Macaca fascicularis: one gene and its partners. The protein of the gene in region 5 purifies or fractionates together with the protein of the main gene of each other region. This does not show direct contact. Links are inferred from orthologs where the notes say so. Each region holds a gene or a part of one and is shown on either strand. Other genes may lie near its edges.

Evidence for each region.
Region 1: the proteins of CDK19 (region 5) and MED21 purify together in Homo sapiens (affinity purification with mass spectrometry; 6 studies listed by BioGRID and IntAct, counting the BioPlex papers as one, with this or other methods). This does not show direct contact. The link is inferred for Macaca fascicularis from reciprocal best matches to the Homo sapiens genes CDK19 and MED21.
Region 2: the proteins of CDK19 (region 5) and MED23 purify together in Homo sapiens (affinity purification with mass spectrometry; 5 studies listed by BioGRID and IntAct, counting the BioPlex papers as one, with this or other methods). This does not show direct contact. The link is inferred for Macaca fascicularis from reciprocal best matches to the Homo sapiens genes CDK19 and MED23.
Region 3: the proteins of CDK19 (region 5) and MED1 purify together in Homo sapiens (affinity purification with mass spectrometry; 7 studies listed by BioGRID and IntAct, counting the BioPlex papers as one, with this or other methods). This does not show direct contact. The link is inferred for Macaca fascicularis from reciprocal best matches to the Homo sapiens genes CDK19 and MED1.
Region 4: the proteins of CDK19 (region 5) and MED31 purify together in Homo sapiens (affinity purification with mass spectrometry; 6 studies listed by BioGRID and IntAct, counting the BioPlex papers as one, with this or other methods). This does not show direct contact. The link is inferred for Macaca fascicularis from reciprocal best matches to the Homo sapiens genes CDK19 and MED31.
Region 6: the proteins of CDK19 (region 5) and MED13 purify together in Homo sapiens (affinity purification with mass spectrometry; 6 studies listed by BioGRID and IntAct, counting the BioPlex papers as one, with this or other methods). This does not show direct contact. The link is inferred for Macaca fascicularis from reciprocal best matches to the Homo sapiens genes CDK19 and MED13.
Region 7: the proteins of CDK19 (region 5) and MED18 purify together in Homo sapiens (affinity purification with mass spectrometry; 5 studies listed by BioGRID and IntAct, counting the BioPlex papers as one, with this or other methods). This does not show direct contact. The link is inferred for Macaca fascicularis from reciprocal best matches to the Homo sapiens genes CDK19 and MED18.

Annotation. Positions count from the first base shown.
Region 1 is NC_088385.1:29,787,043-29,791,189, reverse strand, and holds the end of MED21 (mediator of RNA polymerase II transcription subunit 21), read right to left. Parts: intron 2,915-4,147; coding exon 2,814-2,914; intron 1,974-2,813; coding exon 1,797-1,973; 3' UTR 501-1,796; downstream 1-500. UniProt on the Homo sapiens protein: Component of the Mediator complex, a coactivator involved in the regulated transcription of nearly all RNA polymerase II-dependent genes.
Region 2 is NC_088378.1:35,571,250-35,574,749, forward strand, and holds part of MED23 (mediator of RNA polymerase II transcription subunit 23), read right to left. Parts: coding exon 3,372-3,500; intron 1,038-3,371; coding exon 913-1,037; intron 1-912. UniProt on the Homo sapiens protein: Required for transcriptional activation subsequent to the assembly of the pre-initiation complex. Component of the Mediator complex, a coactivator involved in the regulated transcription of nearly all RNA polymerase II-dependent genes.
Region 3 is NC_088390.1:60,495,343-60,499,307, reverse strand, and holds the start of MED1 (mediator of RNA polymerase II transcription subunit 1), read left to right. Parts: upstream 1-1,165; 5' UTR 1,166-1,359; coding exon 1,360-1,384; intron 1,385-3,965. UniProt on the Homo sapiens protein: Component of the Mediator complex, a coactivator involved in the regulated transcription of nearly all RNA polymerase II-dependent genes.
Region 4 is NC_088390.1:6,686,294-6,689,264, forward strand, and holds the end of MED31 (mediator of RNA polymerase II transcription subunit 31), read right to left. Parts: intron 1,833-2,971; coding exon 1,640-1,832; 3' UTR 501-1,639; downstream 1-500. Other genes in the region: TXNDC17 (thioredoxin domain-containing protein 17), read left to right, coding at 141-209. UniProt on the Homo sapiens protein: Component of the Mediator complex, a coactivator involved in the regulated transcription of nearly all RNA polymerase II-dependent genes.
Region 5 is NC_088378.1:14,654,570-14,658,069, forward strand, and holds part of CDK19 (cyclin-dependent kinase 19), read right to left. Parts: intron 585-3,500; coding exon 512-584; intron 136-511; coding exon 38-135; intron 1-37.
Region 6 is NC_088390.1:46,425,498-46,428,997, forward strand, and holds part of MED13 (mediator of RNA polymerase II transcription subunit 13), read right to left. Parts: intron 2,550-3,500; coding exon 2,087-2,549; intron 80-2,086; coding exon 1-79. UniProt on the Homo sapiens protein: Component of the Mediator complex, a coactivator involved in the regulated transcription of nearly all RNA polymerase II-dependent genes.
Region 7 is NC_088375.1:206,730,028-206,734,327, forward strand, and holds the start of MED18 (mediator of RNA polymerase II transcription subunit 18), read right to left. Parts: upstream 2,801-4,300; 5' UTR 1,860-2,800; coding exon 1,797-1,859; intron 1,578-1,796; coding exon 1,439-1,577; intron 1-1,438. UniProt on the Homo sapiens protein: Component of the Mediator complex, a coactivator involved in the regulated transcription of nearly all RNA polymerase II-dependent genes.

The DNA of each region.
Region 1 (4,147 bases), on a different chromosome or scaffold from region 5:
GAAGCTGCAGTGAGTCATGATCACAGCACTGCACTTCAGCTTGGGTGACAGAGAATTCAACTTAAAAAAACAAACCTGTATATGCTCTACAGAGAATCACATAAAACAATGTTAATTTTTTTCTTTCAATTAACAAATGTAATTTTTAAAACCTCAAGAGAAGTCTGTTATATTTACCCTACACATTGTGCCTTCTTTATTCCCGCCATTCTAAGTTTCCTTCTGCTATAATTTCCCTTCTAGAAAGAAGGGAAATCTTTTTAGCAGCTGTTTTTTTAGAATTTTTTTTAGGAAAAAACTTCCCTTGACAATTCTTTTAGAGCAGGTTTACTAGTGATAAATCCTGTTAGTTCTCCTTCATTTGAAAAATATCTTGACCTTTTCTTTTTATTTGTACCTTTTTGACTCCTTTATAACACTTAGGTACTTTGAAAAAGTTTTCTGATCAAATCTTCTCTCCCCCCAAAACTATAATGAAGAGTAGAGATTTATGCCAAATGTCTGTGATAGCAAAGTGTTTTTAATAAACATCAATGAAAATACACATAGTTAAAAGTTCAAAAAATTTCTATGACTAGCCAATAAATTGCTGCAACTTTTACAGCTAATGCTGGTGTTCCTGAAATTTGAAACATAGTACTTTTCAAGAACTGTGGACAAGTTTGATTACCACAAAAATAACAGGCAGAGTGTTCTATTGTTTTTTTTTCTCCTGAAACTTAAACTCTGAATAGCAACAGATTGCAGCAAATGTAGCTCAGGATATTCTGAAAAATACAGCCCCAGGAGATGGCCAGTTAAAATGTGGACCACATTTCAATTCCACCTTTCCAGTGGAGATAATCAGTAGACTCAAAGAGATCCAAGGGTTGGATGAGTAACCATAGTTGAAAATGCTGACACAAAGTATTATTTGGCAATAATAAACTGAGGTGAAATGGTGCCAAGTAACTGATGTAGTGGAAGTTATGTTCTGGTCTGACTAGAATACAGCAATAAAAGTTGAGAGGTTAAAAGACAGAACCTTCAGATAAATGAAGAGAATGAGAAAGAATTGATTCAAAAAACATACTTCATTGTGATGACAAGCAAATTAAGGAGAAGGATGAAAAAAAGCAAGGTGAAAAGAAATAGGAAAAATAGTTCAGGCTGTAGAAAAATTTTTTCACAACAGCAAGGAAATTCTCTTGACAGAGAAATTTCTTGGTAAAATAAACATGGAGATGAACTAGAACAGGTATGAGGTTCTGGAAGAAGAAACATTTGCATAAATGTGACTTTCTTATCCAGCCACACTAACTCTATTTCTTAAGAGCAATACAATTTCCAAAACTTTCTTGTTCAAAGCTCAGATTTACACAATGCCACTTCTAAGAGGCAGGACACTAGCCTAAACTAAAATGTTCCTTATGTCTGTTCTTACTGTCTTCTCCTCTGGCTTGAGAGATGTTTTGATTTGCAAAAGTACTGGCCAATACAACAAAATAAAGACATAAATTAAGTCATAACAGAATTTTACATGTTTCCTTATATTATGTTCATTAATGCATTACCTGCCGCAATAATTTCACTCAGTTAAAAAATGAGTATGATGGTTTAAAGCTGGTTCAGTCATGATTTTATAAGCTTATTTATCAAGAGTGAAAATAGAAGACTATTAAAAATAGCTAAAAAGGTAACGTGTCATAGTGTTTAATGTTTCTGTAATTGTTGATAAGGCTTGTATCTAAGTCTGATGCAGAATTATTAATGGCACTCAAATAGTTCTTTTCTCAGCCACATAGTATCCACTGGTGCTATGAATCTGGAAGAGACTGGCTATGGCTACCACTTCTTGTCTTCAGTTGTGACTGTGCAATATCAGCAAGTGCGCTTTGTATCTTTTCCAGAAGCATGTCTCCTCGATAAACAACATCCTCCAGACATGTAGCAGCTTCATGGTTTTCTTCTTCTAGCTTATATAAGCTAGCAGCCTTTGTAAAACACAAATTTTAAAATCTTTAGAGTTTAGAAGGAGAGAAGCTGTCGCAGATGTACTTATTTTTAAATCTGGATGACTTTGCAATCATTGTGATATATTTTTCAGTAAAAAAATTCTAAAAATCAGATAACTTTTAAGAATTTTCCCCATGTGAATTATTAAAAAGAATGACTTTTCAATTAGAGATCTCTAGATATCTGTAAGTAACTCCCTTCCACACTACGTTTGGACACCATTATTCTACTCCACATCTAGAATGCCACCCTCCTCTCATTCTTCACTAGGAAAAGAGACAAAATTGAGGAAAATAAGAGGTTTTCTTATCAGGGAAAATTGAATATTATCACAAAAGGTACTACGATTTGAATGTGTCCCCTCCAAAATTCATACATTAAAATCTAATCCCCAATGTGATGGTACTAAGAGGGGGAGGGGCCTTTAAGAGGATATTAAGTCATAAAGGCAGAGCTCTCATAGATGGAATTAGTACCCTTAAAATATGGCTTGAGGTTGAAGAGGGAGCTCTTGCTCTTCTGCCCTTCTGCCTTCAGCCATGTGAGGAAACAGGAAGAAGGTCCTCAACATGGTCCTAAACATGGTACCATGTTTAATAAAAATTCATTACTCATGCACAATGAGTAATAAATGCCTTGATCTTGGACTTCCCAGACTCCAGAACTGTGAGAAAATTAATTTTTGTTCTTTATAAATTACTGTCTCAGGTATGTTGTTATAGCAGCACAAATGGACACAGACAAAAGGTATTAAATCTACCTCCTTTAATTCAAAATTCTCTATTACTGGTAAAATTCTCAAAGGAATAGAGGCTTACCTGTAAAGCAGCTGTAGATTCTTCACTGGGTAAGGAATCTATCAAAACATCAATGTCTTTTGCGGTTCGGGCAATCAGTGCTGCAAAAAGCTGGGCATACTCTAGAGATAAAGATACTGCTAGATTAGGATATTAGAAAACCTCAAGTTTTCAGAAACAAATTTTAAGTTCATGAAACCAGAAACTTCATATAGCTTTTTCTGTCCTAAGATTCTAATGATTCGGCCAGGCATGGTGGCTCACACCTGTAATCCCGGGACTTTGGGAGGCCAAGGTGGGCAGATCACAAGGTCAGGAGTTTGAGACCAGCCTGACCAACATGGTGAAATCCCATCTCTACTAAAAATACAAAAATTAACCAGGCGTGGTGGCATGTGCCTGTAATCCCAGCTACTCAGGAGGCTGAGTCAGGAGAATCTCTTGAACCTGGGAGGAAAAAGTTGCAGTGAGCCAAGACTGCATCACTGCGCTCCAGCCTGGGTGACAAAGCGAAACTCCATCTCAAAAAAAAGATTCTAATGAGTCTAATGATTAAATATGCACCAATCCTGTTATACATTTAGCTCAAATTGGGAATTAAGCATAATGTATGTCATTTCATTTATCATGACAATATAGTGGTCACTTGAATAAAGAAATTTATAGGGGGGCAGAGCAAGATGGCCGAATAGGAACAGCTCCAGTCTCCAACTCCCAGCGCGAGCGACACAGAAGACCGGTGATTTCTGCATTTTCAACTGAGGTACTGGGTTCATCTCACTGGGGAGTGCCGGACAATCGGTGCTGGTCAGCTGTTGCAGCCCGACCAGCGAGAGCTGAAGCAGGGCGAGGCATTGCCTCACCTGGGAAGCGCAAGGGGGAAGGGAATCCCTTTTCCTAGCCAGGGGAACTGAGACACACAACACCTGGAAAATCGGGTAACTCCCACCCCAATACTGCGCTTTAAGCAAACAGGCACACCAGGAGATCATATCCCACACCTGGCCCGGAGGGTCCCACACCCACGGAGCCTCCCTCATTGCTAGCACAGCAGTCTGTGATCTACCGGCAAGGCAGCAGCGAGGCTGGGGGAGGGGCGCCCGCCATTGCTGAGGCTTAAGTAGGTAAACAAAGCTGCTGGGAAGCTCGAACTGGGTGGAGCTCACAGCAGCTCAAGGAAACCTGCCTGTCTCGGTAGACTCCACCTCTGGGGACAGGGCAATAACAAACACAGCCGAAACCTCTGCAGACCCAAACGACTCTGTCTGACAGCTTTGAAGAGAGCAGTGGATCTCCCAACACGGAGGTTGAGATCTGAGAAGGGACAGACTCCCTGCTCAAGTGGGTCCCTGACC
Region 2 (3,500 bases), about 21 Mb from region 5:
ATTCTCAGAGTGTGGTCCCAACACCAGCAGTATCAGCATCATCTGGTCTTACAAGAAATGCAAAATTCTCAGACCTTATCCCAGATTTACTGAATCAGAAGCTCCGTGGCTGGGGCGCCAGCCATCTATAGCTTAGCAAGCCCTCCAGGTGATTTGGTAAATTTGAAAAACAAATGCTCTAGCCCTAACAGGAGTTACGAAAAATGGACGTTCATCATGCCTAACATTTTTTCTGAAAAGGAGAAGACAGATGAGGTTTGCCTTTCTCCCTACTAGAAAAGCCAGGTTTATAGTTTTTCTGGGAGTAAAAAAAAAAATTCAGTGAAGTGTCATATATGTGCACTCTGTGAAGTTCTATTACATTATACTTCTCCCCATTTCAGTTCTATGAGAGAGAAAAAATTTTCAGGTACTATGTTAATTTTCATGAGATTCTGAAACCATTAACTATTTTTTTCTCTTTTTCAAATTTTTTCACTTTTTTTTCCTCTTCCTACTCTTCCTTCCCTTAAAACTGTTACCTAAGGTGAAACCACAAAAATTAAACTTTTAGAAACATGCCCAGTCCCAGAGTAGGACACAGAACAACTTGAGAGATTTTGGAAGTAACGACAATTTTTTTTTTTTTTCCCCTAGAGATAGGGTCTGGCTCTGTCACCCAGGATGTGCTGCAGTGGTGTGACCATAGTACCCTGTAACCTTAAATTCCTGGGCTCAAGTCATCCCCCTTGCCTCAGCCTCTCAAGCAGTTAGGACTAGAGGCATGTGCTACCATGCCCAGACCCTAAATAATTTTTAAAATAAATAAAAGCTAATTTTATTCAGATGTCACCAAGACTCACTCTAGAACACCACTGTGAATGGGAAGAAGGATTTCATGTGTATTCAATAAGTAATTCAAGACAAAATTACCTGTAGTGGGCCTGGAAAACAGCTCAGGGTGTGTGAAGCCCAATTATGAGGAGTGAAACTCATGATGGTCTGAAGTATGTCTTTACACCAAGTTCCCTGAATTGAATCAGAGCCTGTAAAAAAATCTAAACATAAACAAATAGATGTAATCCAGATATAAGTGATTATGTCCACAACTCATAAAAGATTATGGCAAAAATAATAATTAAGTACACTGAGAATTTCACTGTAGTGCATTCATTGCTTAACTAGTTATATCCAGCTTAGAACCTAAATTTGCTTAGTTTCTGAGTGATCTGGATGATCACATTAGAAAATATGAGAACAATTTATGAAAAGATGACAAAAGACATTTGGAATCTCTTTTTTGAAGTTACAGAGTACCAGTGATAATGGTACAGGTCCACCACTACTGTTCATTTATTTTGACACTGATTTAGTAGTACTTTATTTGGCCAAGGGAACAGAATAAAGAAAGATGTCTTTTTTGGAGAGTGAAATAATTACATAATGCATGTATAAATCTCAGAATTGAAGAGGGTTCTTTACATAAAACAACATAATTTACATAAACGTATTTGAGGTTGCTAAAATCAGTAACTATCTCTTTAAAACATCAGTTCTAAAGTGTGGTCTTCAGACCTCTGAGGGATTCCCCAGTAGCCCTTCAAAGATTCAGTGAGGTCAAATAATAATAAAAAGATATCACTGGCTTTTTTACTAGATATGAGCACTGATGGTGCAAAAGCAATGGTGGTAAAACTGCTGGTCCTAAGCACAAATCAAACAGTGGTGCCAAACTAGATGAAAAGGCTTTGTATTCTCCACCACATGCACTCAGTAAAAGAAAAGTGCCAGTGTCAATCTCGACACTTATTTTTAATATCATATTTAACAAAATGGGAAGCATATGCCTAGTGTTCCAAAGTTTGATGGGTGTCTTGAGGAAAAACACTTGTGTGACTGACTACTGAGTTAAATCAGCTGCATTTTTTTTTTTTGAATTCCAATTTTACTTGAAAGAATGTCTGACAGAAAACTATAGTTAGCTAGACTTAAGTATTTAGCAGACATTTTCTTGAAAATTAACAAAATGAGCTTGTCACTTCAAGGAAAACAAATGATAGTAACTTTTACTAATGATAAAATTTGACCTTTTAAGTAAAAATGGAAATTTTGGAAAACATGTATCTACCACCATGACATGACAGCATTCTAAAACTTAGATTTTTCTAATAAACTTTGCAGTGATATTAACAAATGTAATTTTCTGATACTGTATGATAAAATGTCAACATTTGCTAGATCTACGTAACTCAGTGAACCAATATTTTCAAAATGAATAACTCATGAAGTTACAAAACATGCACGGATTTAAAAATCCACTAAATGTACAAAACAGATGTTCAGATTACAATGTAACAAAGTACGTGAAGTTCACTGATAGGGTTTTGGATTCCACATTGCAACTAACTTTTTTTTTTTTTTTTTGAGACGGAGTCTCGCTCTGTCGCCCAGGCTGGAGTGCAGTGGCGCGATCTCGGCTCACTGCAAGCTCCGCCTCCCGGGTTCACGCCATTCTCCTGCCTCAGCCTCCCGAGTAGCTGGGACTACAGGCGCCCACAACCGCGCCCGGCTAATTTTTTGTATTTTTAGTAGAGACGGGGTTTCACCGTGGTCTCGATCTCCTGACCTTGTGATCTGCCCGTCTTGGCCTCCCAAAGTGCTGGGATTACAGGCGTGAGCCACCGCGCCCGGCGCAACTAACTTTTAAGCAACTATCATTTTTCCATGTGATGTCAAAGAACATTCACAACGATCTGAAAAGGCTATTAAAATACTCCTCTCTTTCTAACCTCATCTGTGTGAGGCCACATTTTTTACTCACTTCAACTAAAACTTCAATGGATTAAATGTCTAAGCAGATGAGAATTCAAACTATGTCTTCCTTTACATCGGGTATTAGAGAAGCAAAAATGTAAAACAATGGTATCTCTTCTCACTAAAGTTTTGCTTTACAAAATATACTTTTTTCCATAACATCATATGCTAACATGTAATGTTTATTACTATTTAAAAACAAATTAATAAATATTTTTAAACTTTATTTTACTAATAGAATAAATATCCATAGATATAATCCATATAAACAGAAACTCTTTGGGAATTTCAATTTTAAGAGTGTAAAGCAGTCTTGAGACCAAAAAGCTTAAAGAATTACTACTTTAAAATTATGGAAGATAACTGAAAACTGATGCTCAACCCAGTTATTAATAGAATGATGTTACACAAAAGAGCTTCCATAAATGAATGAAATAGTGAAGATATCAAAACAACTGGCTTTTTTTGAACAAATGAAAAGTATCTTTTTAGTATGTTATACCCATAGTAATTAGTAGAATCACGGCACACTTTAATTCATCTGTTTTTGTTTGTTTGTAGTCACATAGTCACCGTACCTGTAACATGAGTTGCTCTAGCCAAGGTCAATATCAAGGCTCGGTTCAGTTCTTCAGATTCTGCTGAGAGCACTGTTTTGGGATCACTAAGGAAGCGTGTAAACTGCGGTTGTACCTCTGAGCTACCTA
Region 3 (3,965 bases), on a different chromosome or scaffold from region 5:
GTGTCACGATCTCCGCTCACTGCAAGCTCCGCCTCCCGGGTTCACGCCATTCTCCTGCCTCAGCCTCCCGAGTAGCTGGGACTACAGGCACCCGCCACCACGCCCGGCTAATTTTTTTCTATTTTTGGTAGAGACGGGGTTTCACCGTGTTAGCCAGGATGGTCTCGATCTCCTGACCTCGTGATCCGCCTGCCTCGGCCTCCCAAAGTGCTGGGATTACAGGCGTGAGCCACCGCGCCCGGCCGCGCCACTATCTTTCTTAGGATGTAATTACTGCGTCTAGTATCTCAGGTTAAACTTATTTTTCTTTTTTTTTTTTTTTTTTTTTTTGAGACGGAGTCTTGCTCTGTAGCCCGGGCTGGAGTACAGTGGCCGGATCTCAGCTCACCGCAAGCTCCGCCTCCCGGGTTTACGCCATTCTCCTGCCTCAGCCTCCGGAGTAGCTGGGACTACAGGCGCCCGCCACCTCGCCCGGCTAGTTTTTTTGTATTTTTAGTAGAGACGGGGTTTCACGGTGTTAGCCAGGATGGTCTCGATCTCCTGACCTCGTGATCCACCCGTCTCGGCCTCCCAAAGTGCTGGGATTACAGGCTTGAGCCACCGCGCCCGGCCCAAACTTATTTTTCATGAGACATTTCTGATACCGATACCCTTTGAAATGCTAGTCTTGGCCGGGTGACTAGCCAAGGCGAAACCCCGTCTCTACTAAAAATACAAAAATTAGCCAGGCGTGGTGGCGGGTGCCTGTAATCCCAGCTACTAGGGAGGCTGAGGCAGGAGAATCGCTTGAACCCGGGAGACGGAGGTTGCAGTGAGCCGAGATCGTGCCATTGCACTCCGGCCTGGGCGACAAGAGCAAGGCTCCGTGTCAAAAAAAAAAAAAAAAAAAAAAAGCCAGTCTTTAAGTACAGCGACATGTTAATTAATCAGTTAATTTGCGAGTTAACTGCTAAAATAAAATAAGCAAAAAAATGCCGGTTTCCGAAGGGAGCTGAAAGCTACATACAGCGGCGTGAGGCCTGAGACAACTCAGATCAAAGAAGACAGGGCTGAAAGAAATCTCGCGAGGCCCACGCATCGACCAATATTCGCGAGATTTCGATGCCCTGTCCTTTTCCTCTTTCTGGCAGGACCACGGTTTATCTCGCGAATTTTGGGAAGTTCCGTTGGGGAAGATGGCGGCGGCCTCGAGCACCCTTCTCTTCTTGCCGCCGGGGACTTCAGACTGATCCTTCCCGCGAAGAGTAAGGGACTGCTGGTACCCTGCGTCCTGGAATCCCGAGCCAACTTGTTTCCCCCGTTAGTGGTGGGGAAGGGCTTATCCTTTTGTGGCAGATCCAGTCTCTCGCCGCCTTCAGGATGAAAGCTCAGGGGGAAACCGAGGGTAAGTGACTGAGGGGGAAAGGAGGGGGCGGGACACAACTGGGGGAGCCAGTTTGTGAGAGAAGGTTCTTGCAGATGTCCCATGGGGGCCACTTGAGGGGCACAGAGTCCGGGAGAGGGAATGTGTATGAGTTTTAGATTGTCACTATACCCTCCTTGATGACTATAGAGCTTCGACTTTGGGGTGATGGGGACTCTCAACTTCTGTGAAGATTTCATGCTCGGCTAGGGCACTTTTGGCCTAAAGTGGTGCGAGACGGGGCTAGTGAATACAAAACCAGCTTACATCTCCTTCCAGAAGAGACGCCTGAATAAATTTAGGGCTGTGTGTAAACGTACTGGAGACTATTTTGGCATGAATGAAATGATTAATTCCTTGTATTTATTAGCAGCCAGCGGATCCCTACAATGTCAAGTGTTCAGATCCTGTACTGTTGTGTATTTTGTTTTTGTTTTTGTTTTTTTTTTTTTTTTTTTTTTGAGACGGAGTCTCGCTCTGTCGCCCAGGCTGGAGTGCAGTGGCCGGATCTCAGCTCACTGCAAGCTCCGCCTCCTGGGTTCACGCCATTCTCCTGCCTCAGCCTCCCCAGTAGCTGGGACTACAGGCGCCCGCCACCTCGCCCGGCTAGTTTTTTGTATTTTTTTTTAGTAGAGACGGGGTTTCACCGTGTTAGCCAGGATGGTCTCGATCTCCTGACCTCGTGATCCGCCCGTCTCGGCCTCCCAAAGTGCTGGGATTACAGGCTTGAGCCACCGCGCCCGGCCTGTTGTGTATTTTTAAACTGTGCTGAATTTAATTCTTTTATTGACCGAACTAATAACTGCAGAAAAACAACTTTCCTGGGGAACTTTACTAAGATTTTCTAAAGTTCCACACTCCGGCTTAGATGCTTCCTTGGCATTTTGGGCATAGTTCTGTTGATACAGTGAGCTGTGTTATTGTTTGTTTATCTCCAGTTTACTCTGAGCTTTGCAGATTAGGGTCCTTGCCTGATTCATTTTTATATAGTTTCTGGAACGTAATAGTCGCTCAAAAAATCTTGGAGCATCGAAGTGCAGATATTTATCAGCAGGTTTCTCAAGAAAAACAAGGAGTGTGTTTTGGAGGAGAGGTCGAAAGGTGAGGCCCCGCGGGAGCAGTGACTCACATCTGTAATCCCTGCGCTTTGGGAGGCTGAGGCTGGAGGATCCCTTGAGCCCAGGAGTTCGAGACCTGCCTGGGCAACATAGTGAGGCCCTGTCTCTACAAAAAAATGAAAAATTGCCGGGCGCCGTGGCTCACGCCTGTAATCCCAGCACTTTGGGAAGTCGAGGCGGGCGGATCACCTGAGGTTGGGAGATTGAGACCAGCCTGACCAACATGGAGAAACCCTGGCTCTACTAAAAACACAAAATTAGCTGGCTGTGGTGGCGTATGTCTGTAATCCCAGCTACTTGGGAGGCTGAGGTGGGAGGATCACTTGAACCCAGGAGGTGGAGGTTGTGGTGAGCCAAGATTGTGCCATTGCACTCCTGCCTGGGCAACAAGAGGGAAACTTCCTCTCAAAAAAAAAAAAAAAAAAAAAATTGGCTGGGCGTGGTGGCTCATTCCTGTAATCCCAGCATTTTGGGAGACCAAGGTGGCGGATCACCTGAGGTCAGGAGTTCAAGACCAGCCTGGCCAACATGGTGAAACCCTGTCTCTACTAAAAATACAAAATTAGCCCGGCATGGTGGCATGCCTGCAATCCCAGCTACTTGAGAGACTGAGGCAGGAGAATCACTCAAACCCAGGAGGTGGAGGTTGCAGTGAGCCAAGGTGGTGCCACTGGACTCCAGTCTGGGCAACGAGAGCAAAACTCTGTCTCAAAAATATAAATAAATTAATTAAAAATAAATAAATAAATAAAATAAAAAATAAAAAAAATTAGGGCCAGGTAGTGACTCAAGGATGTAGTCCCAGCACTTTGGGAGACCGAAGCAGGCAGATCACTTGAGCTCACAAGTTGGAGACCAGCCTGGACAACCTGGCAAAAGCCTGTCTCTACAACAAATATAAAAATTAACTAGGCATGGTGGCACAAGCCAGTAGTCTCAGCTACTTGGGAGGCTGAGGTGGGAGGATTACCTGAATCCTGTAGGTCAAGGCTCCAGTGAGCCAGAATTGTGCCACTGCACTCCAACCTGGGTGACAGAGCGAGACCCTGTTTCAAGGAAAAATTAGCTATAGCCCCAGCTACTCTGAAGGCTGAGCTGGGAGGATCACTTGATCCTGGAGCATGGGAGGTCGAGGCTACAGTAGACCTTGATTGTGCCAATGCACTTAAGCCGGGGCTGCAGAGTGATGCTCTGTCTTAAAAAAAAAAAAAAAAAAGAAAAAATGTACTCCTCAGGTGCAAGGGGAGAAGGGTAAAAATGGAAACTTTGTGAAGTAGGAGTTTTTGTCTGGTTTGTTCACTGCTGTCTTTTTAGCAATTTCATTTATTCTTTTTCTTTTTTTAAAAAATTTTCCTCTCTAACCCAGTTCAATAACTTTTTTTTGACACAATGTCTCCATCTGTTGCTCAGGATGGAGTAAGTGGTGTGATCAAGGCCCATCTCTG
Region 4 (2,971 bases), on a different chromosome or scaffold from region 5:
AAACTTGTTATAACTAGTTGATAGTTTCTGAATTGCATAATTTCTGTGTTCAAAGATTAGTGTCATTCAAGGCAGAACCTATTCCACTCCTAATAACGTTTTATAGGAGTAGTGAAGATTTGACTGTTCTTCTCTTACAGCCTCAAAAACTGGTAGAATCTGAGTGTCTTCAGGCCAACCTGGTGGAAATGTTGTTCTCTGAAGATTAAGATTTTATGATGGCAATCATGTCTTGATTTCCTGATTTGTTCTAGTATCAATAAACTGTATATTGCTTTGAATACATGTTAGCAATAAATGAGGTTAAAAAACTGGCATGTGTCTAAACAGTAGAGTGCTATTAAAATGCCCATGAACCTTTAGTTTGCCTGTAATATATGGATATTTTTAAGATATAAACAAGTCTTCAGAAGTAGCAGTAAAGGCTCAAAGGAATGTATCATTGAAGGTGACGGAAATACCTAAAAACTCCTAAAGGCGCAGAGCACACCTTCCAAATCTTTCAAAAGATCAGGATCTTTTATTTTAAATTATCTGCATCTGCAAAGCAACTGATATTCCTGAAACCCCTTCTTTGATTTTGGAACGTAGAACCTAACCTCACCACTGAAGGAAGCATATTACCTCTAATCCAGCCTCTGCTTAATTCAGGCAGTTTTGTTTTGTTCATGAAGAAACCGATCCTGAGCACTAGAGGCAGTTCGTTTTGCGGCTCTCTCAATGTGCTTTACTTGGGATTAGGCAGGTGGCGGAGAGGGGCTGGAAAGACTGTGTAACCCAGTGGTGGGAAGAACTCCAAGCTGGAGTCAGTCACACTGATTCTACCACTTACTAGCTGTGTAACCACAGGCAAGTTACCCGCCCCATCCAAACCTCAGTTTTCTCTTCTGTAAACAAGGTTCTGAGAATAAAATGAGAATTCAAGGAAGCACTTAACATAGCACCTGGTATGTGGTACCTCCCAAATCAATGTTAGTTTTCCCAAATGAGCACAAGTATTTGAGGCTCCTCATGTTTGTTCTAAAGTCAAGAGTCCAATTAGTAATTAACCACTAGTTGTCCTGCCATGACTAGGTCAAATGAGGCCACAGTGATTCTTAAAGCCACCTTGCAAAGCAGGTAATACAGGGATTTCCTGTCCTGCAGAATTTGAGAACCTTTATGCAGTTCCTATCCTGTGATTTCAAGAGGTCACTGACTCCGCTACTCTCACTACATAGATAAGAGTGGTAGAGTAGTTGATCTGAGAGACAGTAAGGTTCCAGGAGATGGCCTTGCGCTACTATATGTCAGGAAGAGCTAGCCTTAGAATTCAGTATACTTGGTGGCCCACCCCTACCCCATGCCCCAGTGCCTCATTTGGTCTAAAGCACCTAACTTTTCCATTCTTAATCAGCTGACTATGCTAAATGCATACAAAAGAAAACACCTTACAAATCCACAGGGAAATCAAAGTAGACCAATTCAGGTTTAAAAGAAATAGTCTATTAACAATAAAAAGTTGGATTAAAAAGCACACTAAAGGTTCTAGGGGCTACCATAATAAAGGTAGATAGGAAGAGTTTTCATTTTTTGTCTTCACTGTACAAAAGAAATACATTATATACATGTATTGAGAGCCTCATCTGTATCCGGTTTTTCATTTTCCCGATGTGTTATTTTGCTGTTGCTGCTCTGCCAAGGCTTGCTGAAGGCGCATCCGCTTCCGGGAATAGTGCTGCCAATGTAGAATCTGCTGTTCATCAATGAATTTCGCACACTGAGCATTCACCAGCTCCTTTCGGAAGTGTTCGTATTGGAGCAGCTCTAACATGTGTAAACACTGAGGGTACCTGGGTTTAAGTTTATAAGTAAATGAACAACATAATTTAAGTAAATAATGCCAAGGTCTAATTAAGTTATTCTCTTAAAAATGATCTTGTAGCCTACCATTTCTTTAACTTAGTACACACTGGCAGCATAGGGTGTTTTCCCTGATTGGTCATCAAAGGTCAGTGTTCAGCAATATTTTCGAAAGTGAGAAGGTTTAAGTTCAGAAAGATTAAATTTAAACTTGCTCAGGACCACACAACACAGTAACTGGTAAGCAGAGTGAAAATGTAGGGACAAACCATGCTATTCCCTTCTAGTGGTTTCCAACGTGAAGAACATGAACATATTTTACTAATTCTGTGTTTAATTGATAGTTCTTTGTTTTTCCATCAATAGTGATAAAAAGACAACTTTCATTTAAAAGTGAGTTGGTTTGAAAGAGAACTATGCACATACATTATACTCTTCTTGTCCACAGGGATATACCAACTCTGAAATTAGATATACTCTAGGATTGGACAAGTAAATATACTGTGGATAAGGACAGCCAAATTTCGACAAGGAAAGGAAAAAGGCTAGAATGAATCCTGTGTTACTGAGCTGGTATTGAAAACATTAGTATGTACTTAGGGCTTTTAATATAGGTAGACAGGATAAACAGATGTATACATGTGTGCATGGATACACATACAAACATAGAGTTCTTGAGCTTTGTGTACTGAGAGGGCCTAGAAGCAATGACACTGTGGTACTAATGAACACACAATGTCCAGATTGTGGTATCCAAGGAGCAGGTTTCCTTGGAGAAAAGGGTGATTCAGGGATAAGAGAGGGAAAGTACAAGATGAGCCTGGAACATTACGTAGTGCCAGAAGAAAAAGTGCTAAAAATTATTGGGACGATCAAAAGTATTCAGGAACCAACTTGAAGGGACTCCCAATGGCCAAATCTAGAATACTCAGAGCAAGAAAATACATAATTCTAATTCACAGGATAAAATACTAAATGGATGTAAATTTCTTTAATAAAATAATAAATAGAAAACAAGGGAATGTACTGCCTTACAATCGAATTCCAAACTAATAAATGCAGAATGACAGAATTCGAAAATCACCACAGTAAAAAATGTTTCAAACAAATATCTTCAAAAGATGCTAAA
Region 5 (3,500 bases):
CCTGGAGCAAAGGACACAGAAAAGACGGGACACATACTCTAATGTTGGCAAAGGGTCCTCCTGAAAATAGGGATCCTGCAGAGCTTGCTCCGAGGTAATTCTCTTGGTTGGATCCATGGTCAGGAGTTTCTGAAGCTAGAGTGACACACAGGAAATGCAGAGCACATGAAAAGGTTGTTTACAAGTCAACGCCTTGCCTTTTGTATTCCTGTGTAACAGGATTAATATAAAATACATTTTGTATACCTCACTGCAGATTAAGCATACTACATACTTTTATGTGAAACTGGCAGAAATCATCAGCCTTAAAGCCCTTTTAAAGTTCATTTTCTGCTGATAAATCATTTAAAGTGAAGGCTGAAAGACAAGGGTGACATCTCAACAAAAAATATTTAATTTTGCCCCAGCATCCAACAATTTCTTTTGTTTCTAAAGAGGAGGAACAGCTGAGTGAACAGAAGGCGAGAGTTGTGCTGAGAATCAGATTTCAGTCTGGGAGAGAAGCACCTACCAAGAGGAACACTTTGCTGTCGGGCTTGACCTTGTGTTTCTCCATGTACTTTATGAGGCTACTGTTGGCATACCTGCAAGGACACACACAGTCACACGTCACTGGGAACGCTCATCCAATTGATATTTTTTAATGACAAGCTCCAAGATTGGCTTTCCTATAAGGTATGTGTTTAAGACATTGTTTTTTCTGATTAAGAAGGAACACATTACCAAATATTAGCAAATGTGTGAAGAAATAGGAAATGTCACACATAACATGAGAGTTTACACTGTTACAATCCCTTCGGAAAACAGTTATGCATTAACCATTAGTGTTGAAAATGTGTATAGCCTATGACCCATCAACTCCATTTCTAGGCACAAACCTGAGTCAAAGGATGCTTTTGCACATGTATATCAGGATACATGGATAAAAATGTTCTTAGCAGCATTTTAGTAATGGTCATATATATATATAGACAACCCAAATGTCCATCAACTGAAAAATGGGTACGTTTTTATATATACACAGAATGGAATGTTATACAACAGTAAAAACGAATATGCGAGGTTAAGTGAGGAGAAAAAGCAAGTTGCAGAAGAAAATACATAATATGTTACCATTTATAAAAAGTTGAAAGACAATAAATTGAACAATATTTTTAGAGTTACATAAACATGTGGACTAGAACTCTAATAAAAACTGTGGGATGATAAACTCAAACGCAGAACACTCAGAGTCTATCCTCTGGGAGGGAGGTGGATAGGGAGATGGGGCACACAGAGTACTTTAGTAATCTTAGTGATGTTCTAATTCTTAGGTTCAGAGGTGAGCAAAGGGGTATTCATTTTATTATTCTAAATATACTATATGTTTTTTCATTATATATTATTTCCTACATATGAAATATTTCAAATTAAAAAGGTCTAAAAATAGTTAATATATGTTCATGATAAAAAGAATTACAGAATATAGAAAGTATAAGGAAGAAAATTAAAATCACAATCAAGCCACTCCGTGGCCAAAAAACCACTGACAAAATTTTTATAATGTCCCTTTGGCGTTGTGTGTGTGTGTGGCATATACATACATGGTATAAACACAGGAATTTTTGCTTTGTTTTTATAAAATTGGAATCCTACTATAAAAATTGTCTTAGCTTTTTATTTAATATTGTTCCATAAACATTTTCCCTTGTCAAATACTCTTCAAACTTATTGAGTGGCTGCCTATCTCCTACTGGTACGGGTATTACTCGTTTCATAATAACTGTGGCATACAAGTCGTTGTAGCTAAATCTGATACGCATGGCAGGGAGCCGACACTGCCTAGCGGATGAGACTCAGAGACCCCTCCTAGACCCTGATTCAGTCATTCACCAATTGTGTGATCTTGGGCAAGTTAGTTAACCTCTGTGAAAGCCTTAGGTTCCGAATCTGAAAAGTGGAAACTGTAATTATACCTACCCTATAGATTTGCTAGGAAGATCTTAGGAAAAAATGTCGGTAAAGGGTTTAGCACCACCCTGGTATATAAGAAGTACTCATCTATTTGTGGCAGCTCTGATTACTTCCACAGGATAAATTCCAGGAATTATCAGGTCAAAGGGCATGCACATTTTAAAGTCTTTTTTAGGTGCTCTAGAATCTCACTACACAAATGTAGCCTTTACCAGCAACCTGGGCATCACCTGAGAGCCTGCATTAGAAATGAAGGTTCTTAGTCCTCACCCCTGATTCTGACTTAGAATCTACATTTTTAACAAGGTCTCCAGGTGGTTTGTAGGTACACTGAAATTTGAGAAGTACTCATTCTCTCCAGTAGCATATGAGTAATAATTTTTAAAAAATAAAAATAGAGATAGGGTCTAACTATGTTGCCCAGGCTAGTTTCAAACTCCTGGGCTCGAGATCTTCCCGACTCAGCCTCCCAAAGTGTGGGGAGTAAAGGCATGAGTGAGCCACTGTGCCTGGCCGGAATGTCCATTTTACTGTACCCTTGCCAACAAGGTACCATACAATGTTAAATGAAAATAACTAGTTTGGTTTTGGGTGTTTAAAGAATTTATAGAACATTCAGGTTGGGATTCCATAAGGCAATTAGATAAATGATTTTGAAACTTGGAAAAGTGAACGGAGTAAGATACATATTGGGAGTTATCCACATAATGGATGGTGAATTGTGGCCATCAAAATCATGACATCTGACTGGGAAAGTATCCAGAGTGAGAAGAGGGCCCAGGATAGAACCTTGATATTAGCACTGTCCTTGAGAGATGGATACAGGCAAAGGACCTCACCAAGGATTGTGAGAAAAAGGGGTCAGAAATGATCAATGCCAATCTCTATTTCTCTTAATGATGTCTGCTTTTGTTCCTATAAGCCATCCTGTCCTAAAATTTTCCTGGTAAGTTGCCAATAGAGAAGCTCTTCCACAATTTTCGGTAGGTGTGCATATTTATAACAAACACCTCACATGCCATCACCCTTAATCTCATTTCTGCTCAAAGTAAATGCCTTCATCAGTTTGTTTTACTCATATTCCAAGCCACATGTTCTTCCTTCTGCCAGCCTTCCAGGTTTCCTAGTCCAGCATATCAGTTACCAGTCATTACTCAGAAAAAATAAAACCACAGCTGTGGCCTTGAACGGAGACCTTTATTCATGCTAAAACATAACAGACATAAACTACCCATTGACCCTTACATTCTTAAAAGTCTTTAATACTGCAGCCTAAACCTGAACTATATACGTTAATGGTATCTGGAATACCTTTTGTAAATCACAGGCATAATTAGTATGCTAAAATCTCAGTTTCTAGTTTAAATAACAATCTACATATGTTTTTTAAAAAGATTAACTATTCTCATTGAAATTACTACCTATAATTAATGTGCACTATGGTTTGAATGTTTATGTCCCCTCCAAAATTCATGTTGTTGAAACTTAATTCCCAATGCAACAGTGTTAGAAGATAAGGCCTTCCAGAATCGAGGGCTTTGCTTTCA
Region 6 (3,500 bases), on a different chromosome or scaffold from region 5:
AACAACAATTGCAGGTGGATATGTGATCGCATGTGAATCACCATCTGTGGGGATTCCCACTTTATCCCGATCCATCGTGCTAAAATTTAAGGTAGAAATGAGACAAAAAGTTATACTGTATATGCTTGACGTAGCATCTAAGCAGGTTCTTAATATCCCCCCTCCTCCCTCTTATTTGGTGAAAGGTGTGAGAAAGCCTCTCTGAAAATGAAGGACATTTCTTTCTCACCAAAGTTAACCATAAACATTGTAAATACAATTCCACAATGTATAAAGACACTTGCCTTAAGAGGTCTTGCCTTAAATTTACCAAAAAAGAAAAAGAAAAAAAAAGAAAAAAAGAATTCTTAAAACCATAGAGTATTAGATACAAAAGATTGCTTAGAGTTTAAGGGATAAAACTGAGACAAAGATAGGTCTCTTTGTCTGAGGCTATCTCAAATAGCTTCCCAAATTTATAAAGTTGGTTACAGGTAGAGCTAGGCCAGAAAGAAACCATGTTTCCAGAAACCACGTTTCCAGACTCATTCAATGTTCTAGTACATTTTTAGACTATATATACATGTTTTTTTTTTGAGATGGGGGTCTCACTATGTTAACCAGGTTGGTCTTGAACTCTTGGTCTCAAGCAATTCTCCTGCCTTAGCCTCTCAAAGTGCCAGGATTACAGGCATGAACCACTTAATCTCGTCCTATTTTTAGACTATATACATTTATTTCATACTTTATAGCTTCAATGGTGAACAAGTTTCATTCTTTGATGAGTGATTTGATTTTTTTACACTTCAAATCTATTCATATGTTCAAGAGAGGTGGATCAATCTGGGTAATGGTTTGTTTTTACCCATGAGTGTAATTTTGGGCACAACTGCACCCTGGATAGCTGACAGATATAATTAAGCTCTGGTTAACCTAGCCTATAAATCAAAAGGGAAGATCACTCAAAACCTTCATCATAAAAGGAATGAGAGCTGTCATGATCATTCCTGTCACCATAAATAACTTGGAATCACTGTGTAAAGTACTTAATGTATATTATATCATATTACTCTCATCTTACACATAAGAAAACATGCTCAGAAAGTTAGAGTTTCCCCAAAGTCACAAAGCAGCTAAATGGCAGAGCTGAGATTCAAACTTTAGTACCCCTCTAAAGCCTCTGAATAGACTGGGTCAATAGTGACTTCTCAATCACTCGAGTGATTTGCAGAGGCAAATCTACTTGACAATTATGCCACAGAAGACTCAAATGTCATGTGGGCATCTGGACTACATGGTTTTCAAGCTCTTAATTCCCACCCTCAGATTCTAGAATTCTATGATAAAGATTTTATGAAGTAAAGTCCTCATTATAATTTTATACATAAAATATTCAACACTAGACCTGGTGCGGTAGCTCATGCCTGTAATCCCAGCACTTTGGGAGGCTAAGGCAGGCAGATCGCTGAGTCCAAGAGTTCCAGACCAGCCAGGGCGACATGGTGAAACCCCGTCTCTACAAAAAAGTAGCTGGGTGTGGTTGTGCATGCCTGTAAGTCCCAGCTACTCAGAAGGCTGACGTGGGAGGATCACCTGAGCCCAAGAGGTCGAGCCTGTGGTGAGCCGTGATCACGCACTGTACTCCAGTCTGGGTGACAGAGTGAGACCTTGTCTTAAAAAAAGATACAAACTAAAATTTCAAGAATAAGATAAAAAGCACTTTATGTTCATTCAGAATGTCTTATTTACAAAAAAGCAGCATGGTTGGGCATGGTGGCTCATGTCTGTAATCCCAGCACTTTCGGAAGCCAAGGCGGGCCAATCACCTGAGGTCAGAAGTTTGAGCCTGGTCAACACGGCAAAACCCCATCTCTACTAAAAATACAAAAATTAGCCAGGTGTGGTGGCACATGCCTGTAATTCCAGCTACTGGGGAAGTTGAGGGAGGAGAATCGCTTCAAACCAGGAGGCAGAGGTTGCAGTGAATGGAGATCCCGCCACTGCACTCCAGCCTGGGCAAAAGAATGAGACTCTGTCTCAAGAAAAAAAAGAAAAAAGAAGTATCATAGTTTTCATATTTCTCCAAAAGCAGTATTTTTAAAGGTACCTTTCAGACACATCAGGATGCGGCTGAGTGGGAAGTGAAGATGATTCTCCAGAAATCCCAGCTGTCTGTAGAGTTGATGTCTGTTGCCCTCCTAGTTGACCACTCTGAACTGTATTTGCTTGTGTAGACATGGATCCTGCAGCATTACTGTTCATACTGCCAAAGGGTGGAAATGAAGGTAGTTTATTTGATGATACTCCACTATTCAAGTTGGAGGATGATGAAGATGAAGTTGAAGCTGTGGTCAAAGTTGAATTAGCTGTGGCAACTGAAGTAGATATGGCAACACCTGAAGTCATTGTCATAGTGCTGCTTGCTGCAGATGCTAAGGTGGCAGATGGAGTATTAGCATTTCCAGTATTTGTCATCTGAGGTGGAGTAATCAAAGACTGACTTGTAGGGGCAACTAAATTTGGCTGGGAAAGTAGAGAGCTGTCCAATGGCAGGGAAGCAAGATAAGGACCTAAAGAATAAAAACAGGTAGGAAATTTAATTCTTTATTTGACCGACTGGTTCTTTTTTTTATTCTACTGTGTAAACAGAATCATAATCCAGTTGATGTTTTCTTGGTAATTATAGCCCCTAAATTGCTTGCTAATGGTGTGACCTACATTTGCTTTCTATTTTCCTCTAGAAACTGAAGAAACATATTTAAAATGGAATTGAAAAAGCCAGAATTTTCACTTAAAATTAAAGAAATGATTACTATGAAAGTGTAACAAAATTCTATTTTCTAAGTATAATGGAATGTAAAAAAAGGTATCTAGCAATATTCACCAAACTATTCAAAGGGTTTCTAAATCACAAATCAAATAAATATTGGCTACATTGGCAGCTAATTAAAATATAAAATGGTATAATGTTATCATGGCGTTCAAATTACAGGAATGTCTAACGAGATTCAATATTTTGGTTCTGCATCTCTTTGGATTAAGTCTACAGGAAGTCCACTGATATTTATTTCAAGAGTATTTATAAGCAATACAGTTGGGCATGGTAGAATGAAAGAAAAAAACGTATGTAACAAGTAAGTCTTAAACAGCTGTCATTTTCTTAGCTACAACAAAGAACTATTTCTTGGTTTGGTAGAGATTAACTATAAATTATTTTATCTCTGAACTGTAACAAATGAAGAATCTTCATGTTATTAAAACATCAGACCCTACAGAGGCAACAGAAAATTTATCTATAACCTGTAATTTCATCCTACCTGATGGGATCCCTCATTAGGGATTAGCAAACTTGTTCTGTAAAGGGTCAGATAATAAATACTTTCGTCTTTGCAACCACACAGTCTCTTTGCAACCACACAACTACTCAGCTCCAATGTTGTAGCACAAAAGCAGCCAGCGAAAATACATAAATAAATGAGGATGGCTGTGTTCCAATAAAATTTTATCTACAAAAACAGCTG
Region 7 (4,300 bases), on a different chromosome or scaffold from region 5:
CCTTAGCCTCCCAAACGACTGGAATTACAGTCATAAGCCTGTAATAGCTGGCTTGACATACATTATTTTTTAGTCATCTTTCTCCCTCCATGGCTATGGCTCAAATGTTTGGAACATATTCAGATACTTGTTGACAAAATCTGGCCTGGCGCAGTGGCTCACGCCTGTAATCCCAGCACTTTGGGAGACCAAGGCAGGTGGATCACCTGAGGTCAGGAGTTCAAGACCAGCCTGGCCAACGTGGAGAAACCCCGTCTCTACTAAAAATACAAACATTAGCTAGCCATGGTGGTGCACGCCTGTAACCCCGCTACTTAGGAGGCTGAGGCAGGAGAATTGCTTGAACCTGGGAGGTGGGGGCTGCAGTAAGCTGAGATTGCACCACTGTGCTCCATCCTGGGCAACAGAGTGAGAATCCATCTTAAAAAAAAAAAAAAAAATCAGAGAAACAGGACCTAGAAAGATAGCTGCTGAGGGTTTGGCATAGAGGGGAGTGGGAATTAGTGTTTAAGGGGTAAAGAGTTGCAGTTTTATAGGATGATAAACAAGCATTTTAGGCTGGGCGTGGCGGCTCATCCCTGTAATCCTAGCACTTTGGGAGGCCAAGGCAAGTGTATCACTTGAAGGCAAGAGTTCAAGATCAGTTTGGCCAACATAATGAAACTGCAACTCTCTACTAAAAATACAAAAACTAGCCGGGCATGGTGATGCACGCCTGCAATCCCAGCTATTCGGGGGGCTGAAATACAAGAATCCACTGAACCGGGAAGTGGAGGTTGCATGAGCTGTTATCATGCCACTGCATTGCAGCCTGGGTGACCGATCGAGACTCTGTCTCAAAGAAAAAAACAGTTGTACTAAGTATTTTTTCAAGCTACTCACAATAAACCAAAGTTCTAAAGATCTGTTGTTCAGCAATGTTAATATACTTAACAATACTGAACAGTACACTTAAATATGTTAAGGTTTTTTTTTTTTTTTGAGACAGAGTCTTGCTCTGTCGCCCAGGCTGGAGTGCAGTGTTGCGATCTCGGCTCACTGCAATCTCCGCCTCCCAGGCTCGCACCATTGTCCTGCCTCAGCCTCCCAAGTAGCTGGGACTACAGGCACCCGCCATCACGCCGGACTAATTTCTTTCTGTATTTTTAGTAGAGACAGGGTTTCACCGTGTTAGCCAGGATGGTCTCAATCTCCTGACCTCGTGATCCACCCGCCTCGGCTTCCCAAAGTGCTCGGATTACACGCGTGAGTCACTGCACCCGGCCAAGATGGCAGATTTAATATGTTTAGTGCATGTAAAACTGTAATTTAAAGTAACAGTTAAAAACATAGTTGGGTGCCAGAAACTGTGCAGGCTGCTTTTGTGTTGTCTCTCATCTTAAGGGAAGCTGAACAGAGAAGAGGAAAACAGGTAATCCAAGTTCCCTGGTTCACTTACCCTGCAATAGGTACTCCATCATGTTAATGGTGCCCCCAGTGACAGGCATCATGGTGACTGGAGGTGCCTCCATGGTGTCTAAGTTGAAGACAACACAACTGGACTCAGAGCCCCCAGTCAGGTAAGGCACGGGATATACCTGGAAAAGAGTTCACTTGTTTATACATCAGAGTAGTCGAGAGAGACCAAATCTGTTGTGGCACTGGCCTTCAAATCAAAAGATTCATTCATTTAAAAACATTTCAGTGTCTTACATGGCCAGTTCCAGGAACTGATGATACAGAAATATAAAAAGGAGATCTGGTCATGGAGTTACAGCATTGCCTTCTAGTCTCAAGTTCTGAAACCTCCAAGTTACCTGTGCAATCTTGAGAAAGTCCTGTCTATAACCCCTCACCCTGGGACTCAATATCTTCCTCATAAAATGAGACCAGCAATTTTTTTTTTTTTTTTTTTTTGAGACAGAGTTTCACTCTTGTCGCTCAGGCTGGAGTGCAATGGTGCAATCTCTGTTCACTGCAGCCTCCGCCTCCCAGGTTCAAGCGATTCTCCTGCCTCAGCTTCCCGAGTAGCTGGGATTACAGGCACCCACAACCATACCCGGCTAATTTTTTTTAATATTTTTAGTAGAGACAGAGTTTTGTCATGTTGGCCAGGTTGGCCTTGAACTCCTGGCCTCAGATGATCCTCAGGTGAGTGGGCCTCCCAAAGTGCTGGCATTATAGGCGTGAGCCACCACGCCCAGCCAAAGGCCAATGATTTTTAACTCCCAAGGTTATGTGGCTCAAACGAGATAATAAAGAGGCAACAAAATTCAGAAGAACTGAAAAGTGTCTTAAGGGACCTTCATTTTTACAGATGAGGACATTGAGACTCAGAGAGGGACAGGATACACACAGCAACTTGGTAGCAGAGTTGGGACCAAACTAGAATCTAGGCATTCCATCGCTCTGAAAATGCCTTTCCCCCATACCCTTTTCTTTTTTGGTGACAGGATCTCGCTCTGTAGCCCAGGATGGAGTGCAGTGGGGGAGTTCCTAGTTCACTATAACCTCGAACTCCTGGGCTCAAGCGATCCTCCCACCTCAGCCTCCCGAGTAGCTGGGACTACAGGAGGGAGAGTCACTGCGGCTAGCCTAAAAATGCCTTTTAAAGAGAGCCAAGGCCAGGCGCGGTTTCTCACACCTGTAATCCCAGCACTTTGGGAGGCCGAGGCTGGCGGATCAACCGGAGGTTGGGAGTTCGAGACCAGCCTGACCAACATTAAGAAACTCCGTCTCTACTAAAAATACAAAAAATTAGCTAGGCCTGGTGGCGAGCGCCTGCAATCCCAGCTACTCAGGAGGCTGACGCAGCAGAATCGCTTGAACCCGGAAGGCGAGGTTGTGGTGAGCTGAGATCGCGCCGTTGCACTCCAGCCTGTGCAACAAGAGCGAAACTCCGTCTCAAAAAAAAAGAGAGAGCCAAGAGGAAGTTATTTTAAAATGATGGTATATAGGTCCTTCTAAGCCAGCATCCACAACACGTGTCCACTTAAACACTAGAAGCACACCTCCTTGAGGCTCTAGTGTCTTCTCGAGAAGTCGGGAATTATATGCACCCGCGCACCTAGGAGCCTTTGAGCGACGATTAGATCCCAGTCCTCCGGTTACCGGAGCCCGGGAAGCCCCCAGACCGGTGCAACCAGCCAACTTCCTGCTCTTCTCACTTCCGGTCGGAAGCCGAAGTCTCACAAACCTCGAAACTGCCGTTCCCAAACGTATGGGTGCCGAGAAGGCCGAAGAGCGTCATTGCGGACAGACAATCAGAAGCGCATGCGCAAAATGCCGGGCTGCTGTAAGAAAGATGGCGGCCTCCTTTGGAGCTTTCCTCCGGGGTCTACCTGGCGCCTTGACGTCACAGGCCATCCTCTAGGAAAATATTTTTAGGTTTGACAACCTGGAGATGTATTTGTGCAGAAAGTCTCTTGGAACTGATAGGACTTACAGAGATTATAATGGGCTTAAAAAGAAAAATGAACTGAGGGCGCGGTGGCTCACGCCTGTAACCCCAGCACTTTGGGAGGCCGAGGCAGGTGGATCACTTGAGATCACGAGTTTGAGACCAGCCTGGCCAAGATGGTAAAACCCCGTCTCTATTAAAAATACAAAAATTAGCCGGACATGGTGACACGCGCCTGTAATCGCAGTTACTAGGGAAGTTGAGGTGGGCGAATCGCTTGAACGTGGGAGGCAGAAGTTGCAGCGAACCGAGATCGTCCACTGCACTGTAGCCTGGGATACAGAGAGAGGCTCTGTCTCAAAAAAATAAATAAATAAATAATAAATAAAAATTTAAAAGTCTGGAAAAGGAGTAGGTCCAGATCCAGGAGTACTCTGCAGTGCCAGACTAAAAGAACACGTGTGAGCTTTAAAAGAACCCTGGTTGCAACATGGAGAAAAGTTTGGGAAAGGAGAGAGCCTAGAGAAAAATGACCAGGCGGGACATGGTGGCTCAGGCCTGTAATCCCAGCACTTTGGGAGGCCAAGGCGGGCAGATAGCTTGAGCTCAGGAATTAAGACCAGCCTGAACAACATGGTGAAACCCTGTCTCTACAAAAAATACAAAAATTAACTGAACGTAGTGGCTTGTACCTGCAGTCCCAGCTACTTGGGAGGCTGAGGTGGGAGGATTGCTTGAGCCCAGGAGGCAGAGGTTGTGGTGAGCTGAGGTAGTGCCACTGCACTCCAGCCTGTGCAACAGAGGGAGATCCTGTCTGGAAAAAAATTAAAGAAAAAAGACCAGTTAGGCGCTTTAGTACAACTCCGGCTGAGAAACAACTGTCAGAAAAAGATTTTAAAAATGTAAAAGAGGAAATTAGCC